Drosophila melanogaster: one gene and its partners. The protein of the gene in region 3 purifies or fractionates together with the protein of the main gene of each other region. This does not show direct contact. Each region holds a gene or a part of one and is shown on either strand. Other genes may lie near its edges. The genes, in order: Tdrd3, CG4611, CG6701 and CG10077.

Region 1 (5,155 bases), on a different chromosome or scaffold from region 3:
TGCTCAGCAAGCAAAATTTACTGCGCTGAACCCTTTCCAGCGCGTTTATGGCAAGTCAGCCAGCCAGCTGTACACTTGCTGGCCAATTTGTGCGTACATTTCGGGCTTTTGCACTCTTTTTGCGTTACCTTTGCACTAAATCCTATTGTTTGTACACTACGGACTAATTCTATTTTACATGGTTAAGCACAAAACTATGAGAGAAAATGCACATCACGTCGAAAAATGTTAAAAATAAGTTATGTATGTATGAGGGAAAATTCGCGAAATGCACCAGTGCTGAGCAGCGGCGCGAAATAGTGCTGAACATGTCGCGCAGAAATCAGGGACAATCGATAGTACTGCGCCAGGAATTAATCGAATTCGAATAATGTTTACAAAGAAATGTTAATTACTAAATTATTAAATAAAACTTTGCTTAATTCAATTTTTCACGTTATAGGAGATATATTCACTTAATAGGTAAGACGTAATCAACAGTACGCTTTAAATTATATGAAAGTCAGCAGATTACAAAATACGTACTCATAGTTTTAATATTCTGTAAAGTTGTTTATTCGAAACATGTTAATTGATTTAAATACGTTGTTAACAGGCTGTTACCATGTTGTCTCAATGCTCTCGTTTGTGGGGCGGCACGTAGACTTGCTGCTGCTGCGTCTGACGATCTCCGCGGTAGCGTGAATGTTGCTGCTGCTGTAGATGCGGTTGCTGTTGCTGCAGATGCGGTTGCTGCTGCTGCGCTGAGTTGCTCAGTGGCCTGTTTTGGGCATCGGTGATGGGCAGGATGTCGACCTTCAATACCTCCTCATGGTTTCCATAGCCCATAAAGAAGACCACGCAAGTTTTCTCCGACACGCCCGTGATCTCAGCCTCATAATACTGGAAAATAAAGAAGGAATGATAAGTTAAGTTCAATAGATCAATTTGAATACTTTGTCCTACTACAATTACGAATGTACTTTCAGTTTATCGACCTAAACTCACCCTTCCATCGTCCCAATACTTGGCCATGCACAAGTCGCCCTTCTGCCACATCCACGCATCGCCTGGCACCATGCCGAACTGATCCCGTGGCGCAGCCTGTGGCACAGCCACTGGAGCAGGTTGCGCACGGGAAACAGGAGCGGAAACGGGGCCAAAGGACATGGGTGGCGATTCCTGCTGTTCCTCCTCCTGTTGTTTTTCGTTGGGCAGTGTAACACCCTGGCTCTTTAGAAGGTTCATGGCAAACTCGTTGGCCTCCTTGCTCTGGAAACCCATGATCTTGCTGGGATCGTAAGTGTAGCCATTCGCCAATTGACTGTAGTTCGCCTGCGAATTGTGCCTGGGATTGTGATGCTTTTGGTTGGTTTGAGCCTTCTCTGGCTTCTGCGAATGCAACTGTGCTGGCTGCTGCTGCTGCGTTGTTTCTGTGCCCGATCCCGCCAGGCGATTGGCTTGTCCTCCTTGCTTACGTCGATTCTCTCGCTTTGGCGCACTGCTCACCTTGAGATTAGCTGTTTCCTCGGTTATCTTACTCAAACGGGCGTTGAAATCATCGCCAGCACTATTTGTCGATTTCGCTGCAGAACTCGCCGAAGTTAAGCTTGCTGCCGGCTTGTTTCGTCTGTTGCCATTGGCGTTGCCGTTCTCTGCTCGATTGGAGCCTCCACGATTGCTGCCTCGTTCGCTGCCACGTCGGTTGCCAGTGTGGTCCTTCCCATTGGTTGTTTCATGATCTGGCTTAATCTCGGAATTCGGTTTCAACGATACGTTATCCGAGCCATTGCGATTTGCGGTTTTTACGGTTGGCGTTTCTGGTTTGTAACGTCCAGCTGCACGATCATTGAACGCTCCTCGCTCTCGCGGTGGTCTCTCCTCTTTCGGCGGTTTTTCTTCCCTCGGAGGCCTGTCTTCCCTGTAGGCTCGCTCCTCTCTTGGTGGCCTTTCGTCCCTGCCGCCACCCCGGTTACGGCCACCGCCTCGCGACGAACCCACATGTCCACCACGATGTGCGGCAAAGCTGCTCGATACGTTGTTCTCAAACCTAGAACGATCTGCAAACTTGCCGCCTCCGCCCATAGCTGAAGGTTTGCTCTCGGAATCGCTGAAGCGCGAGCTTCCATATTGCTTAAATGGATTGAAGTGATTGGTAGTGGGTGGGGCAGTCGGAGCGGCAGTTGGAGCGGCAGCGAAGGTTTCTGCATTACTAGCGGCCGGTGTTTCCTTGGCGGGCAGTTTATTGGTTAGGAAATCAAACAGCGTGGTGTTGGCAGCCGGCTTGGGTGCTTCAACTTCGTCCTTGGCGCTAGCTCCACGCTTTCCCTCTCTGGGCGGACGATCTCCGCGTCCCGGACGACCCACGGATTCGATCGGACCCACACCGCCAGCTTCACTGCGTCTTTTTAGATTGTATAGGGCGCGCTCCAAGTTGTTTCGGGTAGCAGATAAGGCACTGCGGGCCTCCTCCTCGCTGAAGCCCTTGTCTAGGATCTTCTTAACATTGTGATCGATAATGTTCTGGCCACCGCCGCCAAAGATCTTCTTGCCGCCGGCCTTGGTGGCCACGGCAATGGCCTCTGTGCGCATGGCATTGAACTCTTCGTTCTCCTTTGCCGGCTTGTCCTTGTCGCCCTCGCCCAGGCTCTTAAAGTTCATTTCGCTTTCGGCGTTGCTATCGATTTTTCGGCCAAATGCCACCCACGGGGGTGGCGCTGATGTCCCATTCAAGGGGCGCCCACTGCGCGCATATCTCATCATGGTCCTGGCCAGATCCCATTTCTCGTAGAGTGCATCCACACGGCCGCCGAGCAGCTGAATTTCACTGGACTTTAGCAGCAGGAATCCCTGCATAAGCTGCAGTTTCTCGGCCTTGAAATAGATCTTGCTTCCGGGAGCCACATTGAGATTCAGTTGGGGAACTGGCTCCAGCTCCAAGGCCTTTATGGAATTCTGCCCATCACTCAGATCCAACTGAAGGAGGCGTGGCGCCGCCTTCGATTCCTCATTCGCCTTGGGAGCGGCAATATTTCGCACACGCTGAACCTGCAGCACAATTTTACCGGGCAAAGTGGCATCTTCGCGTTTCGCGGGCAGTGCGCCACCGCCAATATCGCGCAGATCTCGCTGCAAAGTGTGAGTAATAGGTTATAATTAATAATTACACAGAATGCTGAGCAGCCGGTTCGCCTACAACTCACATTCAGTGCATCATTGACTATTTTCCGGACATCCTCGCTGCCGACGGCTGTTGTCACGATTTTAAGGCCCTCCTCTGTCAGGTACCTGCGTAAATCGTTAAGAAGCATTGTATGCCACAATTTAAAATTGTACTTACCACCCGACTTCTCGTAGTTTCTTGCCTAATTCCATTTTTTCATGAAGACGATTTTTTTGCAACTCCGGACTAGGGATGACAAAAGTATTAGATGTGTGTACTCGCTAGTGATGTGCTTGGCGGCAACTATCGGCTGACGGTGCATACTATTATCGTTTAAGTTTAGGTTGTTTAGTAATATTAAATGCTTTCTTAAAATCTAAAAATTTTAATATTTCTTGCACACTTATTCAAATTAAATATAATATATATATTATGTCCCAAGAGATAATGTCAAAATTGGGTGCAACACATATACTAGCATATATATTTTTGATAGATGTACTTATATATCGATAATTAAATTTTATCAGTTATAAAGAATTGGCATTATAAATCGATTTAAAGTCGTAATATCTACATGTTTAGAACAAACAAAAGAGTACCCTATACGCACAGCCACTCTAATGACAGTTCTAGTTTAGGTGGTAAAGCGAATAAAATGCGGTCACACCGCGCCGCAATGAATGTATAAAAGGGGGCTGCCATCCGCAGAGCGAGTAAATAACGGTTCGCGAGCAACAACTTTTCATTTCGAGAGCGGAGTAATTTTTCCAGCCGACCGACAAACAGTGATTGAAAACCCAAACGAGATTTATTTCGAAACGCGACAAGAAATTGTTACATCAAAGGAGCTGCAACGACTAAAATCCGCGAAGAAAGTGCGAGAAAATACCTTAAAGAGAGAAAAAACCAGTGACGCAGTAGCAACAACAACAAACAGTCATCGAACGATTTATAGAATCTAACGCCGAGTCCAAAGCATGAATCTATCATTCGCTGGCTGCGGATTCCTGGGCATCTACCACGTCGGAGTGGCCGTCTGCTTCAAGAAGTATGCACCGCATCTGTTGCTGGAGAAGATCGGAGGCGCTTCGGCCGGTTCCCTGGCCGCCTGCTGTCTCCTCTGCGATTTGCCATTGGGTAAGTCTCTTCCCACTTGCTTACATGGGTGGGTCTAGAGAGGGAAGCTTTCGGAATCATTAAGATCTGCCAACTATATGATAGCGATTCTCCAAGGCGAAACAAAAATAAATTTTTTATTTTGCTTTGCATAAATCTTAATTTGTTAAGTTTCTTGTTTCTTTTCACACTCCGCGTCTGAACTTGGCCTTTGCACAATGTTTTCTGCTTGGGAAAACCCCTGTGAATATTTTCTGCACCCCTCTGGTGTTTTCTCTACTGCTCTCCCCTCTTCGTGCAGAATGCACACACACGAACACACTCACACTTGCGTTCGCAAAACAGCTGAGTGCAAAAGCAACCACACTGGGCAGTTCAGTGACTCTGTGAGTGGGAGTGAGAAAGAGAGCGAGTGGGAGTGGGAGAGCGCGAAAGATGCTGCGAGGCTCAATATAAAACGCATTGAATTGAATTTTATTGATAAGCTTGTTTGCGTTTGTAGGTCGCTAGGAAGTCAATGGGGATCTTTCATAATTGACTGCGATAGTGTGTGTGTGTTTTTGGGCGTGTTTGTCCAATTTCGAAGGGGGCTCGTCCCATCCGCTCAAAAGAAAACTGCGGCGCAGTTGAAAAACCTTACGAAAACAGAAAAACAAGTTTCGTATGCCCGGGACAACGCACTTTTGTAAAGCGGCACCCGAATATATGGGCAAATGGTTGGGCACAGCGGTGGGTATATGAATAGCAACGCAGTCCGAAAACATTTCATCAAATACTTTTGCAAAGAGAATAAACTAAATACTTATGCTATGAGATTAGCCAGAAACTTTATAAATCTAAATTGAAGATAAAATCACTCACAGCATATCTTATCTTCAATTGCCAATATTAAAT
Region 2 (4,549 bases), on a different chromosome or scaffold from region 3:
GCGGAGGCCAAGGCATCGGGAAGATGTCTAGCCGCTGGAATCCTGGCACCAAAGATCCTCCACTCGGACCTCAACACCCACAAGCTGTATATGGAATATTTCGATGCAGCCAAGACTGCCAAGCAGTTCATCCAGGAAACAGTGTCCACTCAGACGGAGGATGAAGCCAAGAAATGTCTGCTGGAGTTCTGCACGCGGATCGGTGAAATCATTGGGAAAATGCACTCCAATCACATTATACATGGCGATCTCACCACATCTAACATCCTCATCAATCCGAAGGGTGGCGACTACGATGTCATTCTGATTGACTTCGGCTTGAGCCACTACAATCAGGCCACCGAGGACAAGGGTGTGGATCTGTACGTCCTGGAGCGGGCGCTACTCAGTACGCACAGCGAACAGCCGTATATCTTCGAGCACGTCCTGGCCGCCTATCGCACAGCGTGCGGTAAGGACGAACAGGCAGTGCTCACCAAGTTCGAGGAGGTGCGAGCACGCGGACGCAAAAGAACCATGATTGGTTAACGAATAATAATAAACTTTATTGGGAGTTAAACTTTTTAGCTTATTCTATCCTCTTCAAAGACTCTTTGGGAGGGTCATCCTTCAGCTCGTGTATCTTGATCTTCTTGATGTACTTTCGCTGTTTCGTTTTGTGCTTGAGCTGCTCGTGCTTGAGTGGTTCCATTCCGTTGACAGGCGGCAGCTTGAACTGGTCATACGGGCGCTCCTTCACCTTGGCAATGGCGTCCTCCAGCTTGAGACCGGACAGTCCCTGCTCCTCGTAGTACAGGCGGTATTTATCACAGAACTTAGAGTGGCCCTTCTTAAAGGCTGCCGTCTTGGTTGATGGATGCTGCATATACACAACAATTAATGATTTAACTAGCAGAAAGTTAGCTATAAACTCACTCTGGCATCAATGGCTCGCGCACAACCTCTGTGAAAGTTGTGCAGGTGCCGCAGGAAGGCTTCATTTGGCTTAAGGCCCTCCTCCAGACTCAACTGAATGATCTCGTTGACGTAGCTAAAGGATTTGTTAGCACATCCCTGCCGCAGCATGGCCCCCAGTATGGGCATGTTCATCTTAATGCCCGCCACATGCATCTGTTCCAGCAGTTCCCTAGCCTCTTCCTGCGTGCGACAACCCAAAGCGAGCACACCGTAGGTGACAATGTCCGGCCGCAAACCCGCCGTGCGAATCATGAGGAGCACTTCCTTGGCACTCTCGTAATCAAAGCGCATGGAACGCTTTTTAATCAGTATGTTGAAGAAGTCGATGTCCGCCTTGAGGCCAATCTTGCGCACAAACGTGAGCAGCTGCTTCTCGGCAGCATTTGTGGGCGGTATCACCTCCAGCATTGCGGTAAATGTCTCGATGTCCGGTGTAATGTTGTGCTGCTTCATGTGCTCCAGAAAGCCAGTGAGACCGCCGAGTAGCAAGAAACGTTCGTGTGGACGTGTCACCTCCTCCAGGGCCACCAGACTGCCCAGATGCGGCTGAGGCAGCAAAAGATTGGGCAGTTCCAGCTCGCTCGCTGTGGTGGCCACCTCAATTTGGGCAGGCAACGTAGTTGTGTTGGCTTCCACACTGGGTAAATCATCTTGCTGACCTTTCTCCAACTGGAGAACTGGTTTCTTTCTAGCAGCTGAGGGCGCAATTTTATCGATAACCTCTCGCATGGAATCCAAGTCACCGAAGCCACAATCCCTTGCACATCTCAGCATTGCATTGAAGCTGTAGTAGTCCGGGCTAATACCTCGCTGCAACATGTTGTGCCAAGTCAGCAGAGCATGCCGGAAACCGTGCTCCGAGTTGCTGGCACACGCCTGCAGCAGAAAGTTGAATGTATCTGCATTCAGTTCCAGCTGGCGCTCCATCATTTCGTCGGCCAGCATGTAGGCGGTGTCCACATCGCCACACCTTCCATACGCCTTGATCATGGCATTGTAGTTTTTCACATTTGGTTCGTAGCCCTTCTCGAGCATGTTCTCCCGCAGGATTTGGGCCTTGGCCAGGCCATCGCTCACGGAGGGAGCATTGGCGCAGGCGTTGAATAGCGAAGTGTAGGTTCCTCCGGTGACTTGAAGACCACGTTGCCGCATCTTGGTGTACAGGAAGAAGGCCTTGCGGGTGTAGCCCGCCTTGGCACAGCCACTGATCAGCAGATTGTATATGTACTTGTCCGGCTTGGCGCGATCCTCCTTTAGCATCCGTTGCTCCAGCACGGCGATGGCCTCATTTAGGCGATTCGCCTTAAGATGGTCCTTAATTTGGCGGGCGTATTCCACGGCTTTTAGTTTCTTTGAGCGCCTAGTGGAATTGCTAAGGAACTCCTCTTCCTCGACATCACCCGGGTCTTCTGTTGCAGCCACCTTGGCATCGCCAAAGGTGTCCGGATCACCAAAATCCTGCACCTTTTTGGTGGACTTCTCTTTGGGTTTCTTTTCTGGCTTAAACTTCTGGTGCTCCTTGGGTGCTGCTGTGATAAGTTCTTCAAAAACTTCTTCGCGAAAAGGATTCTGGTTCCTGTTGGCCTCTCGTTTGGTCTCCAAACCGGCTTGTTGATCCGTAATCCTCACGTGCAGCAGGCGATTTTGTGAGCAAGACCAAGTTGCAGGCAGAATAACCAGCCGGCTGATGTTGTAACTATTTAACCGTCTTCCGGTGGCATTTAATTGCAAGCCACGTATGTGGCAGCTCATTGAACGGCTAATCAACCGCAGAGCCATGTTATCTGTTGCAATTTTCTGTGATTTTTATGTAATTAAAAAAAAACTATTTTAAACGTGCGTGTGGCGGCGGTGTAAATAAAGAAACAGCTGATGAAGGGGCGTTGCCACCTTGTGTCCGAAATGCCAGTCAAATAAGAACGTAAGCAACCTGCACGGCATTCACATTCCACGCAAACATCCATTGCAATCTGACCTGGTTTTTCGATTAAATTGGTGAAAATTAAATAAATTAAAAATGAACATGACCGTGGATCCGCGCCGCAAGGAGAAGATCAACCGCTACAAGGCGCCCAAGAACCAGGGCCAGAGCGGCGGCGCCAACGAGGACATGATGCCGGATTACATGAACATTCTGGGCATGATTTTCTCCATGTGTGGACTGATGATGAAGGTAATAACACCCCAAAGATTACAACCAAGTGACTTGGCATTTATCAGTATGTAACCCACCTACACAGCTCAAGTGGTGCGCCTGGTTTGCGCTGTACTGCTCCTGCATTAGTTTCGCCAGTTCTCGGGCCAGCGACGATGCCAAACAGGTGCTCTCCTCCTTTATGTTGAGCGTCAGTGCGGTGGTGATGTCCTACCTCCAGAATCCCGCTGCCATGACCCCACCATGGGCTTCCTAGCACTGGACCTAAGATAACTATTTTAAATTTAATGTAATTGAACAGTTGAGAGCCTCGGTTTTGTTCGACGCTCAGTAAAAAAGTACGTACGTAGTTGGTTGCCTTGTGAATTCAGGACAGCTTTCTGGAACTTGACCTTATAGCTATATAGGTACCAACTCCAAGACTTGCCTAGTGTAGATGAAGGTATATTTTATTGCATTCCGAAAGGGATTAAAAGGGGACTAACATGAATACAGGCGGCTGGGCTCAATTCAATAATTAATAACTTAGGTAGGCGGTGATGTGGAGGTAGTACTGCTAATGAGATGACTCCTCGCACGGCGATTGTGGCTAGGTGGTGAGCAGGTAGTAGGCGAACAGCATGAATGCCACAATGTAGACGGTGCCGAAGATCAGGACGTATTAAATCTCTCCAAAGTTCTTGTGTCCGGTTTGCTTGGCATGCTCCTGGGCCTGCACCTGGCCGACCAGCCTGACATCGCACTGCATGCAGCGCAGCGTGAATTTATCCACATTGGTGTATTGGCGGGAGGACTGCGCCTCGTTGGCCAACTGCTCGGCCTGCTGATAGACGCCCAGCTCTTCCACCGGGAAGATGGTGGCCGGCGCAGCACTCGGCGATGTCTCCATGTACAGCGGATCGTAGTGGATGCCATCGAAGAGCAGGAAGACACGCAGTCCAAAGTTCTTGTCCTCGCCAAAGCGATTGATAATGGCGTTTTGTATGTCCACCACATCGATCTCAATGCCATAGTAGTTGGACAGTATGGACACTTCGATGGCGCCGCCCCACGAATCCGCCTTCTGTATCCAGGCGCAGTACTCGGCATTCGATTTGCCCAGCACGGCGTCGTTGTAGCTCTGCGGATCGGCGGCCACCTCCTGCGCAATGATGTGACGCATCATTTCGCTGCCCTCGTTGTCCACCTTCCCGTTGAGCACGAATCGTATGCTGGTGAAGAGGCACGAATTGTCCGCCGGCACCACCTTCTTCAGCAGTATGCCATTAAAGTCGCCATTCGGTCCGCTTTCCGTCGGCGCCACTGGCAGCTGGTAGTCTGCTGCCTGGGCGACTGGACCGCCAGCGGTTTCCTGCAGCAGCTGTGCCTCCTCCTCGGCCTGCAGACGACGCGCCAGCGCCTCGTCATCCTCCACGGTGGTGCCGCCAGGCACAGGGG
Region 3 (7,959 bases):
ATGGCGCAGCAGCATTAGTAACTGGAGCATTAGTAACTAAAATCGATGTTCCTGCGGCGTCCTGTTTGGTTTCCAATTGAAAATCTTTCAGTTGGGCCTCTATCGAACGAACTTCATCCAAATCGTGGTCCACAGACCTTGGAACCTTCGGCAACTCGTCGAATATGGTTTCGAGCTCAGATTTTTTCCGCTGACACTCATTCCCGAGGTTAAGCAGCTCATTCTTGCTGTAGAAGATCTTGGCGTCCTGGACTGGATTCTTTGCATGGTTCTCTGTTTGGGATAAGGTGCGGGTTAGAGGTTAGATAATATAATTTAAGGATGATCACGCCAGAGAAACAAGCAATCGGCAAATTAAAAGCTATTATCATGCAAAAAGAGCCGACATCCACGACATGGGATTGTAATCGGCTTGTTTTGTCTGGCGACACTTAAATTGCTGGCGTTACTTACTTCGCTTGAGCGGTTGCCTTAGCCCGGATGCAGGCTGATCCCCAGCTGCTCCTCCTTTATTGACGTTGTTTGCCCCAGTCTTTTTATTCGTAATAAAATCTTCGTTAAGGTATTGCTCCCCAACCAAGGTCTTACGATTGCGGCACATTTCGATAATATGTTGGAAGTCACTGTTTTGGCTTAGAGTTCGTGGATTTCCGATGAGAATAAGCAGCGAAATCGGCCGCGAAAGCAGAACGTTCAACCGCTAAACGGGTGTGCAATATAATTAATTTAATGGAATAATGTTTTTTTTTTTTCATGAATAGTTCTATTATTTTATAAACAAATACATACCCGTTCATTGTTCAAGAATCCAAGTTTGGGAGTAAAGGAGCGCACAAATGAAACGATTATCACATGCTTCTCCTTGCCCTGGAATAATTCGACAGAACCGCAATCTATTTGAGACCAGTTTCGCATGTTTAGCTGCTCTTGGATACGTTGGTACTGGTTCTTGTACGGCGATATGATACCGATATCAGTCTGCAATAACTTCTCGCCATTGAGGCCGAAATACATCAGATCCTTCACGTAATCCATGACAACATCAATCTCTTTATTATTGCACAGGCTGCAAAATTGAAATCCCATGTATTAATATCAGATTTGGTTTTGTACACCATTTTATGCACAGACCTCACAGAGCTCTTCGTGTTCATCGTTGTGCCAAAAACGGAATGAAACATGATGGGAAAAGTCGCATTGGGCAGGTAAAACCAGTTGTGGAAGCGACAAACAATTTCTGAAATACGAATACGAATTATAATTTTTGGATCCTATATGGTAACTACAAGCGCTCACCCATGGGTGCCTCAGTCCGAAGATGTCCCTCGTAGTACATATTGTTGTAGAGCGATACTATCTCCGGATGTGAACGAAAATTGCGGATGAGTCGCGTCTGCACCGATGCGTTATAGCTGCCATCCTCTTCCACTTGGTAGCACTTCCTCTGCAGCAGTCGCTCGAAGAGGGTCAGTCCAAGACCCCATTCGTTCGCCCTCTGCGATTGGAGCACTGGTCCCAGTTGTTTGTGGTCGCCGGATAGAATCAAATTCAACGTCGGCGATAGGGTGCAGGTGATGCCCATCAAAACCTCCGCCTCCGTGGAAGCGGCTGCTTCGTCCACAAACACATGCGTATACACATTGTTCGCGGCGAAGCCACCGGTAGACAGCTTTCCAGCTAAACTGAGTGTGCAAATCACGATCCGATATTGGTGCACCGCTTGCACGGCCGGATAAAAGTGCACAGTGTACATGTTCGAGTACTCCAGAAGCAAATCGTCGATATTGTCAATGCGCCGATCGCAATTGGCGCTAAAGATACGGGTTAGCGGTCGTGGCTGGCTCTGTGGTGCTTTGGCGATTGCCCTTAAAAGTCGCAGTGCCACCTCGTCACAAGCCGTATTTGAGCCAGCCAGCACTAGGATGTGCGTTTCGGGTCGATTTATGTACAATTGGTAGATGGCCTCGACGATGGTCGAGGTCTTACCCGTTCCCGGTGGTCCGAACACGATGTAGGGAGCTTTTAGACGTGGGCTCAACGCTATCTGTCGAACCGCTTGCATTTGCTCCGGATTGGTCGAAATTAACTTGTTGTTTAGCTGAAGTACTCCACTGGCCAAAGGTGTATTGGGAATTTCACCGGGAAACAGGATCCGCTGAACATCACTGTGCCTGGTGAACGACAGCTGCTGAAGTGCTCGGTACTGATAACGCATCACTGCTCGCAATGGACGGAAGATCAGGGTGTAGGTGGTGTTGTCCGGTAACTGGCGTTCACAAGTAATGTTAACCCGCTGCGTTGAGACGCCAAGGATGCGGGCGAAGTAGACTCGTGGCTGCTTGTCCAGAGATCCGACCATTCCGTCAACATTGCGAGCCCACCGCAAGATGGAGTCAAAATCCTTGAGTGCCAACTCGAGCACGTTGTTGTTGTTTTCCAACATCTTGCGTACAGCCGATTTCGGGTTGCCCTTCTCGTTTATGATTAGCACATCGTCGCCAGGCGATAAGATATCCTCCACGCTCATACTGGTGGTACCCATTTGCATTTTCACGGAAAGCTCCCGCCCGAACTGATGCAGCTCCATTTCTGATTGTTTGAGCGAGAGATAATGCTGCAATCGTTCGATGTCCTCCACCTGGAGCAATGTGCGCAGTGTCCCGGTCAGATTTTCCTGGGTAATCTCTCTGCCCCGCTCGCAGTAGTTCTGATATTGATTATCAAAGCTAGCCAAACACATCTGGGCATCCTCGTGCTTTAGAGCACTCAACACCTGAATGGGTGGATTGGCTGGCGGAAGACCCTTGCTCTTGAAGGTCTCCTTGCTAGACAGCCGGTAGGGATTGATGTTGAAGCTAGCCTTGGGCAATGCCTCCGTGCGCATGAAGTGATGCTGCTCCACATATTTCTCTCCCTGAATGGTGAACCCGATAACGATGGGCTGCTCCCGAAGGATCATGAAGACGTGAGAGTCCACGAAGAACACAAGTTCACCGCTCCCATTCACCGGCAGAGGCATTTGTGCACCATACACGTAGTAAAACTGTCGTAACTGCACTATGATGAACTTGTCCACCACCAGATCCTTGCGGAAGGTCTTTAAGGTGAATCCAAAGTAGTGGCTGTCCACGCAGGTCTGATAGGACAGGGACACAATGGGCGTTGGACTGCGGAAAGGAGGCACTCATTGTACATTAACCTTTTTCACATATGTAGAGATATAATTCAATTTACTTACTATTTCTTCATCTTTTTGAGGGACTGAAAATCAGACTCGTCGCCATGGTACTCCACATGCTCCTCATACTTCTCAATTTTCTCGAAGTTCTCCTGGCAGATATAGCAGCCCAGGGATTGGAGTTCGAAATCTTTATCTGACTGCAGCAGCAGCCTCTTTTGAAATTTTAGAAGCGTAGGCTTTACGTCTGTGTCAAGTTTGTATTCTGCCAACAAAAAAACTCTCACGCATAATGAGAATATTTTTTTTCTTAATTATGGATAGACTACCTTCGATTATCGGTTTGTTGCCCTCAGCAGGTGCTCCTCCGGGCACATCGGTCGTGGAGGCGATTCCCCGCAATCGGTGCTGTTCGTCCAGCAAATTGAACTTCTCCTTGCGAAAGTCCATCAAGGAGAAGTTTTTGATGCGATAGTTGGGGTTTCCACGAGGCGTGTTGATTAGAAAGTTCGTCCTATGCAGCAGGGAGCCAATCTAATGAAAATGTTGCATTTAATTTCGAATGTTATAGTTTATATCAATCGCCGAAAAGGATTGTTATATCTCAACGGTCAGAAAATTGCACTGGCGCAATAGGCACTGTATGTATGCACATATGCATGTATGGGCATTGAAATACCAATGAAAACGGGGAATCACTTGACTCCACATATCGAATTTCACCATACGACCACCAAAGAGAAATACACAATGACAGATTTTCCTTTTCTAATTTTTGTGTTCTTTTCCTAAAGCTGTTTTCCCAAACGAGTTGCGATCCCTTTGAAATGGAAAACCCATATGCAGGAGATGTAAACTTGTTACTATGTACTTCATTTTAACGGCATAAATAATTACAATGCGCTATAAGTGCGGTATGTCACAACAATAGAGCTATAGATATACGATCTTGACACAATATAATATTTCTGTTTTTAAACTGAACTCTCAGCATTGAGTTGAGTTGAAATCCACTTAAAGTCATATACAAAATATGCATGTACATTTGTTAATGTTTATAATTTATAAACAAATGATTACGTTTGTTTAGATCAGATTGCTGCTGTACCAGCAAAGATTCCGCGCATCTGAGTGTAAAAGAAAGAATAATCCGGCAGGGGAAACCCAAAACCCAGAACCCAGATGACTCATAGACTCAAGCGAGCAAATCGCGATCGCACACGACGTCGATCGTATGTATGTGCAAATAGTTGTAAAGTTGCTCTGATAATACGGGGAAAATGTTTGGACTGGAGCGAGACAAAGGAAAGCCACATACATACATATATAGATACATACAGTACGAAATCAGTCTTATCGCGCTTTGACTAGCGAAATCGAGTGGTCTGCAATGCAATGTCGAGAATATTGAGCAACTTAAGGCATGTTTACATTTTGTATCCGATTATACTTATCCTAATATATTATATTTCATATTTTAAAGAATGACCTACACATGTACATATCGGACCAACAAAATGCAATTTATTAGTTTTCTAAGGCAACCCCGACCGAAGCTCATTTGGCAGTGCTCACTGTACAGGAAATAGGATAGCAATAAGGCATTATCAATGTGATTCAACTTACATTCGTAGCTCCCTGACTGCTGAGCTTCTGACGAATCTCGCTACTGTTGGGCAGGGCGTTCAAGTGCACCTCGAATAGTTTTCGCATTTTGGCCTTGTCCACGTACCACTCCGTTTGGGCGCTTATCACCTGGAGTCTGGCCATCTCCAGCAAAAACGAGCCCATCAACTCGCGCTCTGTGCCCGTGAAAAGTGATCCGATGTTATGGATCATATATAGTATATACATAGTATATAGCTTACCCCACGGAACCGTCGGCTTGCGAGGCATTCCATTGGCGTAGGTGCCGGGCGGTTTGATACCGGCATTGATCGGTGGCGTCGGTGGCGGTGTTGGGAAGTCCGGCGGGGTTGCGTTGCCATTGTTATTGTTGATTATGTTCTTTTTATTTTTTGTCATTTTGGCTTGATGTTCTTTATTTTGTACTGATTTTTTCCTGTTGTTTTTTTCTATGTTTTTGTTATTGTAATACACTCACTCAAACAAAAAGGGTAGGATCGATAATTGTTGTTGCGAATAATCGCAATTAAGTTACTTATTTGACGCGAACAAAACGCAAAGACGCAGACACACACACACGTTGAAATATTATATATGATATAGTATGTACTATTCAGCTGACGATCGAAATGCACGGCGTAACGTTCAGGTAACAAATGAAGAGAGTGATGCGCGAGCGTTGGGTTTTATATGCACGGGTTACCCAGACGGGGATTTCTTAAAAAAGTTGTTGGGTTAAAAAATGGCTTCAACGAAAACTAATTCAACATTAAATTGGAAATAGAGTCTCTCCATCTTTAGATTTTAACGATGTCCCTGTGTGTTTGCCTGCTTGTGTGTGTGTTTGCGTCTGCAGCAGAGAGCCTTCTGAATAGCGGTGATCAGTTCGCTGGAACTGGAAATTCATTACGGAGTTCTTTAGCTTTCTTCCAGTGGCGAGAATTTCGTAAACAACGCAAAAGGAAGCACTCGCTGCCGCAATACTTACATACGTGTATGTAACTGTCAATTTAGTTTGTTATTTAAAAAATATATATATTTATTTTTTTGATATATCTAGCACCTTTTTTGCTTATTATTTCTAACCTTTATATTGTGTTTTTTCCTATGTGTATGAGTGTGTAATTTTATGTTGGAATTTGAGCGTGTAACACTTATTTACAAAATAGAATTAAACGAACACATAACTTTGACTTGAAAGTCGTGGAAAATCCAGCCTAAAATGATCGTTTCGATCGATTAATGTCATTTACAAAGTTTGGTCACACTATTTGGTTGGTTTAATTCCAAAGATAAAAATACCAACGGTATTCTTTGGAGACCAGAATGTTTAATTTGTAGAATTTTAAAATATTTAAAAATATATTGATCATATTTTAAATAAACTTGTACCCTCCGCTTTTTAAAGAATATACATTTTAATATAAATAAAAGTATATTTTATTCTTTAAATTTAAATAAGCAAATTAATCCTTAACAATTCTGTTCCATAAAAAGCTCAAATAAAAATTTGTTATTTTACATGTAGCTCACAGAATGGGATAAACGTTACACATTATTTATATAATATATTTATCTTAAACCTACTTATCAATCTACAAACAGACTATTTCTTTGCCAGCTTCAGCTTTTCGGATCCAAAGATGACTCCAGTGTCGCCCAGTTTGCGCTTCATAGCAAAGGGATTAACCGAATTCAAAGGGGACCGGTGATCGGTGGCTTTACCCATGGGAACCTCGGATTCCGATTCGCCGAATATGTTTTCCTGGGTGTCCAGCGGAGAGGGTGTGATATCCGGAGTCGAGGGCCGGGATGCTGCCGATGCTGCTGCTGCTTTAAACATATTGGGTGAATTGACCAATCTCTTCAGGGTGCCCCGTTTGGCCGAGCTCAGCTCGATGGCCTTGGGTTTTGGGCCGCTTTGTGAGGCCGATGTGGGAGTCATTGGCAGAACAATGGTGGCCGCAATGCCGCTGGCACCCAACAAAGTCTGCTGCTTGCGTGCCTCCTGGACCGCCTCCAATTGAGGTAGCAGTTCGCACAGACGGTCGGACAGGTGGATGCGTCCACGTTTCGTGGCGTATTTCACGGCCAGTTGAAGCAGATCAGTGCAGGCAATCGATTCGATCAATTCCCTAGCTCGCGTCTCGCACTCGCTGCTGCAGGCCAATGCAAACAGCTTGATGGCCGTCTCCTTTTGCATCTTCTCTGCCCCATCCATTTGCATCAGACTGGACCGCAGCAGTGCATCCTCCAGCTCGGACTTTTCCACTTCGACGTCGCAGAGCGGGATCTGCATACGCAGTTCCTGGAGCATGGGACGCGGATTGGTCATGGGATAGGAGGTACCGCGGCACAGGACCGCCTGGACTATCTGACGTTTCTCGGATACAGCGACCACAAAGAAGTTGTGCGACACACTGGTGCTTTGCTTCATGGTGTCGCAGATGGGGAACCAGGCGTTGCTGCTCCGGCGATACAACTGCAGCAGACCCATGTTGTCGGCAATACTCGGCGATCCGGTGTCGCTGTACCCAAACCAGGTGAGCTGCCGGCCTGGAGTCAGCGGAACGGGCAGATATTCTTGTCGCAAACTCAATCCATTTATGTTCACCAACATCGCGGCGAGATGCTGCTGCGTCTGACTGGGCGCGGAACTGTGGTAAACAACCATTAGGCTGTGCTCGTGTCCAGCAATAGCCACCATTGGTCCTGGTATGGTTAGCACCTCACGCTGTGTACCCATCACGGTGAAGATACGCAGAAAACTGGAGCTGGTGGCCACAGCCACTAGAAATCGCGTGGCCACAACAGCCTCTGCACTCTCGCAATCCGGGAGGCTGAGTGACCACTCTTTGTTTCCGGCGGCGGCCAGAGCAATGACTACTAACTTGCTGGATTCGTTGGAGGCCAATGCCAAAGCTCCACTGCTCACACTGGCCAAATTGTGCTGATTGTAGTTACTAATGTGTAGAGCGTGGTGAATACTAGCGTCGTGGAACTCCACATCGATGGAGCTATCGCCTGAGGGCTCCACATGGGCGGTAACAATGCCCACATCATTCCATGCCATGTAGCGATGCTCTAGATCGGCCGGTGTGGCACTGGGCTGAAAGGCCGTCTGCTGCTTGAAGAGCTTGATTTGCGGGGCAACG
Region 4 (7,666 bases), on a different chromosome or scaffold from region 3:
CAACTATGTGACCTTTTTCCGCGACTTCAATCTGCCCAATACCTTTAACTCCTGGTTCTTGGTCACCGAACTGCATGTTTGGCTACTCCTGATGCGCTCCATGGCCGAGGGCTCCGAAACGGGCGAGGATGGACGCTTCCTGCGCAACTGCATTGTGGAGGCGATGTGGGGAGATGTTAACACACGCGCCAAGAAATTGGGAGTAGGTTTTACTTTAGTTCACCTTTATATATATAATCTTTATGCTCTTCATATGTGTTTCCCAACAGGCTCACAATCCTTCACGCACCCGTCAGCAAATCGAGACCTTATCCGAGCAGTTCCAAGCGGCCCTAATCGCCTACGACGAGGGCATCATGTCCGACGATCGGGTTTTGGCCTGCGCCTTGTGGCGCCGCTTCTTCGAGATGAACTGTGATGATTACGCGCAGATCGAGCGACTGGTGAAGTACGTCCGCCAGCAGGCCAGCATGCTGGACAGTTTGCCGCGCGATCAGTTCATTGTCAAGCCGAAAGTGGCATGGTTGGAATTGGACAAGTGCAAGGTTTAATCTTAGTTATATTCTGTTTTTTAAAAATAAAGTTTGAGAGTATGTGAACTGGAAACTAGATGCTAAGGTCCTCCACGGACTGATTACTCAAGGCACGCAGCTGGCACTTGAGCAGAAATGCTGTAATCCTTCGTTCTGCCCTTCTCCGCTGCGGTTCCTTTAGTTGGGCCAGTATTTGGTCCATCTGGAGAAAGCTGCTTCTGGGCGAGATTATTTCAGCGGGCTCTTGTTCCTCGTAGATGATTTCCTCTTGGATGATCTGTTCACTGGGCTCCTCGATGACCTCCTCGATTATGAACGTACTCGACTGCTGTGGAACATCCCCATCCTCAAAAGTGTCCCACAAAAATTGCACAGGAGTTTCCGTCTGGATGGTCGCCTCCTGTTTGTTTGTTTTGGGTTTGGTTTTCACTTTGGAGGGCGGCTGGATCTCGGCCAAAAATCGCAGGCGTTCCAGGTACGGCCAGGTGGATCCACTGGTGTCCGCGCGGCGAAACTCCTTGCGAAACTGATAGTGCAGATTGTTCCAGCGCATCAGGCAGAAGTCCACTAAGAGGATTATAACTTTAAATATATATATCTTATTCTTTTATTAGCTGACTTACCATCACAGCCCATCATCTCGGCTATGCGAGCCCAGATATCGGTTTTCGCCTTCATGGCATCGTAGTTCGAGAGTCCAGATCTCTTATAGAGCACAGGATTGGGTTCCACCAGATCAATTAGCTTGAAGTCGAAAGGTCTGTTTTTCTTGTAACTGGTGCGCATGGCTACCAAATTGAATTAAACTAGCTTGAACTTGATAATTAAGAATCCCTTGCTTGAGCCATGTTTATTTACCTTATGAAGTACAGCAGAGCTACGATTAAGCGAAAACCATTTGGCACGTATTGTATGTCATAATTGCGGGCTTAAGATACTTAACAAATGAAGGGAAATTACATAATAATAAATTATATTTTAACTGCATTATTAGAACCTTGTTTATTAGTTATTACTTTACAGATAGAAATTTACAGGTTAACTACATTGAGCGATCACTGTAATATTCCAATTTATGTCCACACTTTGGTTTTTGGGTCGTTCTATAGGCTGGTCACATTTTTCTTGCTGACCATTATTATCGAAGTTGCTTTACCCGATAGGTTCCAGACAAACAATATCAGACGTCTTTGTTTTGCTTAAAAAATTAATAGTTCTTATTGTTAATTACCGGTGCCGCATTAAAAAAATACTGGTTAGACAACGAAGTAACTACAAACTAGCAACCATAGTGCTCTAAAGTGCTCTTAATAGTGTTCCATATTCTTTTCAGTTATTATTTTTATTTAATTTGTTATTATTAGAAACGTTCACAATAATTATTTATATATTAAAAGTTTCCTACTAACAAATATTTTGACATTTTTCCCTATTCGTTGTGATCGTTTCTAGAAAATTCAATCGATGTTTCCAGAAAACCTAACCTATCGAACCAATCGATATTAACACCGATTTTTTCCACAGCTCTATTGACGACGTAGAAGCTGAAAAAATTGTGGAGTGAAAAATTGTAAAAGTGACCGAAAAAACTATACTTTGGCCAGCTATATTTCCACTTACATCACACCAGCAATGAACATGTGAGTATTGAAACACAGGCACACATTTTTTAAGCCCAAATTTCGGTTTAGCATGCGGCCAGGGGCCGAGTGTCGAAAATCAATAAATTCAAAATGGCAGTAAAAAATGAAAATTACATAAAAAAAGGTCGCTTCGTGTAAATTTCAACATTTTGGCAACGCATTAAAGGGCTCAAAATTCTAATTTTATGGCACAAAACGCTCGTCGCAGGTACAACGGACAGATGAACGCCTTCGGAGGCGGTGGCGGCGGAGGAGCTGGTGGCCTAGCCGGCGGTATGGTGCCCAATCGCATGGGCGGTGGTGCTCCCGGTGGCGGACCCGGCGGAGCGGGCATGTTCCAGCGCAATCGCTCGGCCCCATACCCAGGTTTCAATGGTCATGGACCCGCCAACGGTGGACAGCGACGCATGAACGGTGGTGGTCCTAGCATGGGACCCGGCGGACCACGCAACCAGGATGGATTCGGTGGTCAGAACGGGGGCCAGCGCTCTTCCAATCATGGCGCTCACTTGCCCAAGATCGTTTGGTCTGAGGTGAATCTTACGCCATTCCGCAAGAACTTTTACAAGCCGTGCGATTCGGTGCTGGCCAGGACTGTCGGTGAAACAGAGACCTTCCTCACCAGCAATGAGATCACCATCAAGGGCGATCAGGTGCCCACACCCAGTATTGAATTCGAGGAGGGCGGCTTTCCCGATTACGTGATGAACGAGATCCGTAAGCAGGGTTTCGCCAAGCCAACGGCCATTCAAGCCCAGGGTTGGCCCATTGCTATGAGTGGACGGGATCTGGTGGGCGTGGCCCAGACCGGATCGGGCAAGACCTTGGCGTATGTTCTGCCGGCGGTGGTGCACATCAATAACCAGCCGCGCCTGGAGCGCGGTGATGGACCCATCGCCCTGGTCCTGGCTCCCACTAGAGAGTTGGCCCAGCAGATCCAGCAGGTAGCCATTGAGTTTGGCAGCAACACGCATGTGCGCAACACTTGCATCTTTGGTGGAGCGCCCAAGGGACAGCAGGCTAGGGATTTGGAGCGCGGCGTGGAGATTGTAATTGCCACACCAGGTCGCCTAATTGATTTCCTCGAGCGCGGCACCACCTCGTTGAAGAGATGCACCTATCTGGTGCTTGACGAGGCCGATCGTATGCTCGACATGGGCTTCGAGCCCCAGATCAGAAAGATCATGCAGCAGATCCGACCGGACCGTCAGGTACTCATGTGGTCAGCTACCTGGCCCAAAGAGGTGCGCCAGCTGGCCGAGGAATTCCTTAATAACTACATACAGGTGAACATTGGTTCGCTTTCGCTGAGCGCCAATCACAACATCCTCCAGATCGTGGACGTGTGCGATGAGAATGAGAAATTGATGAAGCTGATCAAGCTGCTAACAGACATCTCGGCGGAGAACGAGACCAAGACCATCATTTTCGTGGAAACCAAGAAGCGTGTGGACGAGATCACGCGCAATATCTCCCGCCAGGGCTGGCGCGCATGCGCCATCCACGGCGATAAGTCGCAGCAGGAGCGCGACTTTGTGCTCTCGAGCTTCCGCAATGGCCGGCACTCGATACTGGTGGCCACCGATGTGGCTGCCCGCGGACTCGGTGAGTATACGTAGCCTTTGTGGGGCCCTAAATGGGGCCAACTTTCGTTTTTTCTCTCCGTAACCAAGCAATTGTTGCCTGTGGATCAATCAGCATCCCGTGGGGTTTCATTCATTATTTTGTGATTCGTCGTCGACGCCTTCCTGGTTCGTCTGGTCTCAGCGATCCGTCAGCGATGAATCGGCCAACACCGCCCAGCCTCTTCGCTCTTCCTTCCGCTCTGTTTCCAGAACTTTGGAGGTTTTTCGTTTCGGGTCTGTTCCGGATTTCACAAGCTATTCACGATTTGAAGCTGAAAGCGCATGATTCCCATTTTGGGGTCCATTGATGGAATCTTCGCTTGCTTCAGTGTGTAAATAATACTCATAGTTTTTTGTTTGTATTCATTTTAATTTAATTAAGCTGGGTAAACAGTAGCCTAATCTAAGAGCTCTAGCGCAAATCTTCGCCTAGCTGTGTTCGAAATTAACTGGGGTTAGATATGGGGGTTAAATATTTGTAAACAAATTTTTATTTTATGTTATATTTTAAATGAAGTTTTGGGTAGCTATGCGGAGTTAAATGAGCTCATTACTGGTTACCATCTATCAAAGAATGTTATTTGGTAAACGTGAAAACCGGAAAGGACCGCTTGTATTTTTTTTTTAAATTGCATGTTCAAATCTGTAGGCAGCCGAAAAATTGTCATTTATTATTTTTCAATCATTTTCGAGTGGTTCGATGCCGGGTGGACCATTAAGTCTAACTTATTGAACCCTTTAGTTTGCTGAATGATTCTACGAATCCGAAGAAAAGGTGTGGGCTCAAATAATGAGGGGAATGTGTTTGTTCTCCATGCATTGCTGGTTATATGATGTTGTTACTTTTAGTTCGTTTGTTGCTCTCTTGCTCATAGTTTTTAGTTGTGTCTCGTCAATCACATTTTGAGTAACTTAATTGTAAAAAAGCGATTTACTGTCAGTCAAGGAGTCAATGGCCAGCAAAATAATCTTAAAACAAAAAACCCAAACTAAAGAGTAATCTCAGTGCACCCAAAAGAAATTAACCTTTAATCCAAAGCGATTAAACCGTGCCTTAACTATAACTATATATATATATCTTAAGTTTTTTTTTTATTTAGTTTCTAGAACAATGTGAAGTAACTAATGTGTTGAGTAACATTTGCAACATTTTGCGGCCCAAGTATTTGTTGACTGATGATAATTTTCTGTAGCTTATTTATGTATCATAAAGTACCTAGTATACTATATTACGTCGCTCCTTACTCTATGTATAATACCTAAATTTGTGTGTGAACAAAAATATCATCAGCACTTTATGAAATGGACTTCGATTTTTCAAATGGCAAAACTAGACAAAAAAGAAAAAAACCCGTTCAAAGTTAAAAAGTTATATACACAAAGCAGTTAAAGAGAAAAGCTATATATACAAGTTGAGGGTTGAGTTATAAGTTTCTAGCATTGCGGAGATCCGTGGGATCTCCATCATCACGGCCCAGTTGCGAGGACACCATCTCCAGGGACTCTTATTCGTAAGCCTAATTCTAATCCCATATTCTAACCCTAGATCGCCAGGGTAAGTACTAGGCTAATTTATTTCTTCCTAATCATAGCAATATGCCCGCATCCTCGTTCCCCCTTCCCTTCCATCGAAGTATGTTCCTCCTTTTAAACCAAATCAGCACCCTTCTATCATAAGCTTTGATCATTCATTCACATTTATGTACATCTCTTATTTATAATGTTAATTTTAATCAAGCCGTCTCTTGTATGCATTAAGCTTAAACATTTATATTACGATTTGTGTATTCAAAAATGATATAAAAGAAAGTATGATGAGAAGAAAAGGTCGAGGTCCACATTTCTGCAGTATAAAAAGAACATATGTCTATTTGCCAAAGATGTATTGTTATTAATATACGCTAATAGTATTGATGGCGAAATTTTTGTTCAAAGTACAAAACCATACCAAAAAAAAAAAATTTAAATTTAAACCGATCTAACACCAACCGACAAAATCCATTCGACAATTCGATCAAAAATGTATTTTAAGTTCTATTAACAAACTTAACAAGAAAAACAAATGATCGCACCGACACAAACAACCACTAATACCAATACCATGACATGAAAACACACACCAAGACAGAAACGGACACCACTCACACAAGCACACAAATAAGTTTTTTGTTTTTGTTAAATAGTTTCTTGAGTATTGAGAAAGATTCCTATTTTCGACGCATTGCTTCGATTTGATAATTTTAACGCTTCTTTTCACATTCTTCAATTTTCAAATTCGAAATGAAAAATATTATTGAAATCAAACAGACGTTGACGATGTCAAGTTTGTGATCAACTACGATTATCCTTCGAACTCGGAGGACTACGTTCATCGCATTGGACGCACCGGACGATCCAATAACACCGGCACCGCCTACACCCTGTTTACGCATTCCAACGCCAACAAGGCCAACGACTTGATCCAGGTGCTGCGCGAGGCCAACCAGGTGAGTGCTCCTCGTAGCTTTCAATCCTTTCGATGGCAAATTTACTCACCTCCTCCGTTTGCAGACCATCAATCCCAAACTGATGAACATGGCCATGAACGGTGGCTACAACAAGCGCGGTGGCGGCATGGGTGGCGGCTACCGTGGCGGCAATGGCTATCAGGGCCGCAATCCCCAGATGGGCGGTGGATACAATGGCGGCAACAACTACCGCAACAACAATGGTCCCGGCGCCACCATGAATCGCAACTCCTTTAACGGCGGCAGCGCTGGCGGACCACCACGCTTCGATCAGAAGCCGCGCACTTCTCCGCCGAATCAGGGCGGACAGGGCGGCTACCGTGGCCAGGGAGGCGGTGGCTACCAGGGACAACAGCAGCAGCAGCAGCAGCAGAACGGCGGAGTGCCCTTCTCTCGTTTCAATCCCAATGCTGCTTGCTTCGAGCCCAACAAGCCGCAGAATGGTCCGGGATCTGGACCGCCACAGGCGCAGCACCAGCAGCAGCAACAGGCTCAGGCTGCCCAGCAGCAACACCTACTTCCTGATGCATCCGTGCAGGCGGCGATGACGGCTGCAAACTACGGAGTTGATCAGAAGCGCTCCCGTTTCTCGCCCTACAACATGAACTTTGCCAACATGCCACCACCAGCGATGAACCAGCAGCAGGCGGCGGCGGCCCAGCAGCAACAGCAACAACAGTTGCAAACTCCCCAGCAGCAACAGCAGCAGCAGCAAATGCAACAGCCACAGGCCTATGGCCAGTACTCTTCAATGTCCTCCAGCATGGCAACCGTGTCGCTCAACGGAGGAGCTGCAGCGGTGGCCAGCTCTTACCGCGCCCCGTACGCAGTGCCCACGCAGGCGGCACCCTATATGATGGCGAACGGCGGCGACATCTTTGCCTATCCGCCGCCTCCGCTGCCTGTGCAGAACTAGAGGCCCTGCGGTTCGATAGAGGCTACCAGATTGTAGACCAGCTCTACTGTAATTTCCTTTCCCCACACGAACATTACACGCACATCCGCACACCCACCCGTATTAATTGTACACAAGTCACGATCACAAGTCCAGAGACTTCAGAGGGAAGATGTTAGATGAGCGTCGGTGATGTACGTATCGTGTAGATCTCCTCCGCCCACATCATAGCTATATAATATGGTTTAATCTGGAATCAAATACGCTTTTAATTTGATTAATCTCTTTGTTCCCCCCAAAACAAAACAAAACAAAACAAAAACCCCACATTTAGTTGATAAGCTTTTGGTTTAGTCAAATTGTTAGGGCATTCGAGTGCCGATCATCGATGTTGTTGGCATTTATCTTTCCAGAGCCCTGGGCGTATTTGATTTCTTTATACAATTCTCGAATATTGTACGTA

Evidence for each region.
Region 1: the proteins of CG6701 (region 3) and Tdrd3 purify together in Drosophila melanogaster (affinity purification with mass spectrometry, with the first as the bait; one large-scale study listed by BioGRID). This does not show direct contact.
Region 2: the proteins of CG6701 (region 3) and CG4611 purify together in Drosophila melanogaster (affinity purification with mass spectrometry, with the first as the bait; one large-scale study listed by BioGRID). This does not show direct contact.
Region 4: the proteins of CG6701 (region 3) and CG10077 purify together in Drosophila melanogaster (affinity purification with mass spectrometry, with the first as the bait; one large-scale study listed by BioGRID). This does not show direct contact.

What each region holds. Positions count from the first base shown.
Region 1 is NT_037436.4:14,785,046-14,790,200, reverse strand, and holds Tdrd3 (tudor domain containing 3), read right to left. Parts: upstream 3,411-5,155; 5' UTR 3,355-3,410; coding exon 3,320-3,354; intron 3,268-3,319; coding exon 3,183-3,267; intron 3,109-3,182; coding exon 988-3,108; intron 883-987; coding exon 613-882; 3' UTR 536-612; downstream 1-535. Other genes in the region: bmm (brummer), read left to right, coding at 4,123-4,282.
Region 2 is NT_037436.4:5,134,659-5,139,207, reverse strand, and holds CG4611 (uncharacterized protein), read right to left. Parts: upstream 2,833-4,549; 5' UTR 2,737-2,832; coding exon 916-2,736; intron 860-915; coding exon 569-859; 3' UTR 529-568; downstream 1-528. Other genes in the region: Tcs5 (Threonyl-carbamoyl synthesis 5), read left to right, coding at 1-528; CG10674 (uncharacterized protein), read left to right, coding at 2,975-3,130, 3,198-3,368; Yod1 deubiquitinase, read right to left, coding at 3,774-4,549.
Region 3 is NT_033778.4:13,974,138-13,982,096, forward strand, and holds the start of CG6701 (uncharacterized protein), read right to left. Parts: upstream 6,029-7,959; 5' UTR 5,891-6,028; intron 5,807-5,890; exon of another isoform or gene 5,282-5,806; 5' UTR 5,204-5,281; coding exon 5,047-5,203; intron 4,981-5,046; coding exon 4,805-4,980; intron 3,713-4,804; coding exon 3,508-3,712; intron 3,444-3,507; coding exon 3,239-3,443; intron 3,168-3,238; coding exon 1,297-3,167; intron 1,238-1,296; coding exon 1,132-1,237; intron 1,067-1,131; coding exon 790-1,066; intron 701-789; coding exon 454-700; intron 274-453; coding exon 1-273. Other genes in the region: Ctf4 (chromosome transmission fidelity 4), read right to left, coding at 6,411-7,959.
Region 4 is NT_037436.4:6,949,888-6,957,553, reverse strand, and holds the start of CG10077 (uncharacterized protein), read left to right. Parts: upstream 1-1,649; 5' UTR 1,650-1,788; exon of another isoform or gene 1,789-1,801; intron 1,802-2,041; exon of another isoform or gene 2,042-2,057; 5' UTR 2,058-2,165; coding exon 2,166-2,173; intron 2,174-2,384; coding exon 2,385-3,781; coding exon of another isoform or gene 3,782-3,795; exon of another isoform or gene 3,796-5,750; intron 5,751-6,108; coding exon 6,109-6,287; intron 6,288-6,351; coding exon 6,352-7,224; 3' UTR 7,225-7,666. Other genes in the region: Uqcc1 (Ubiquinol-cytochrome c reductase complex assembly factor 1), read left to right, coding at 1-202, 270-551; CG9948 (uncharacterized protein), read right to left, coding at 607-1,100, 1,157-1,319.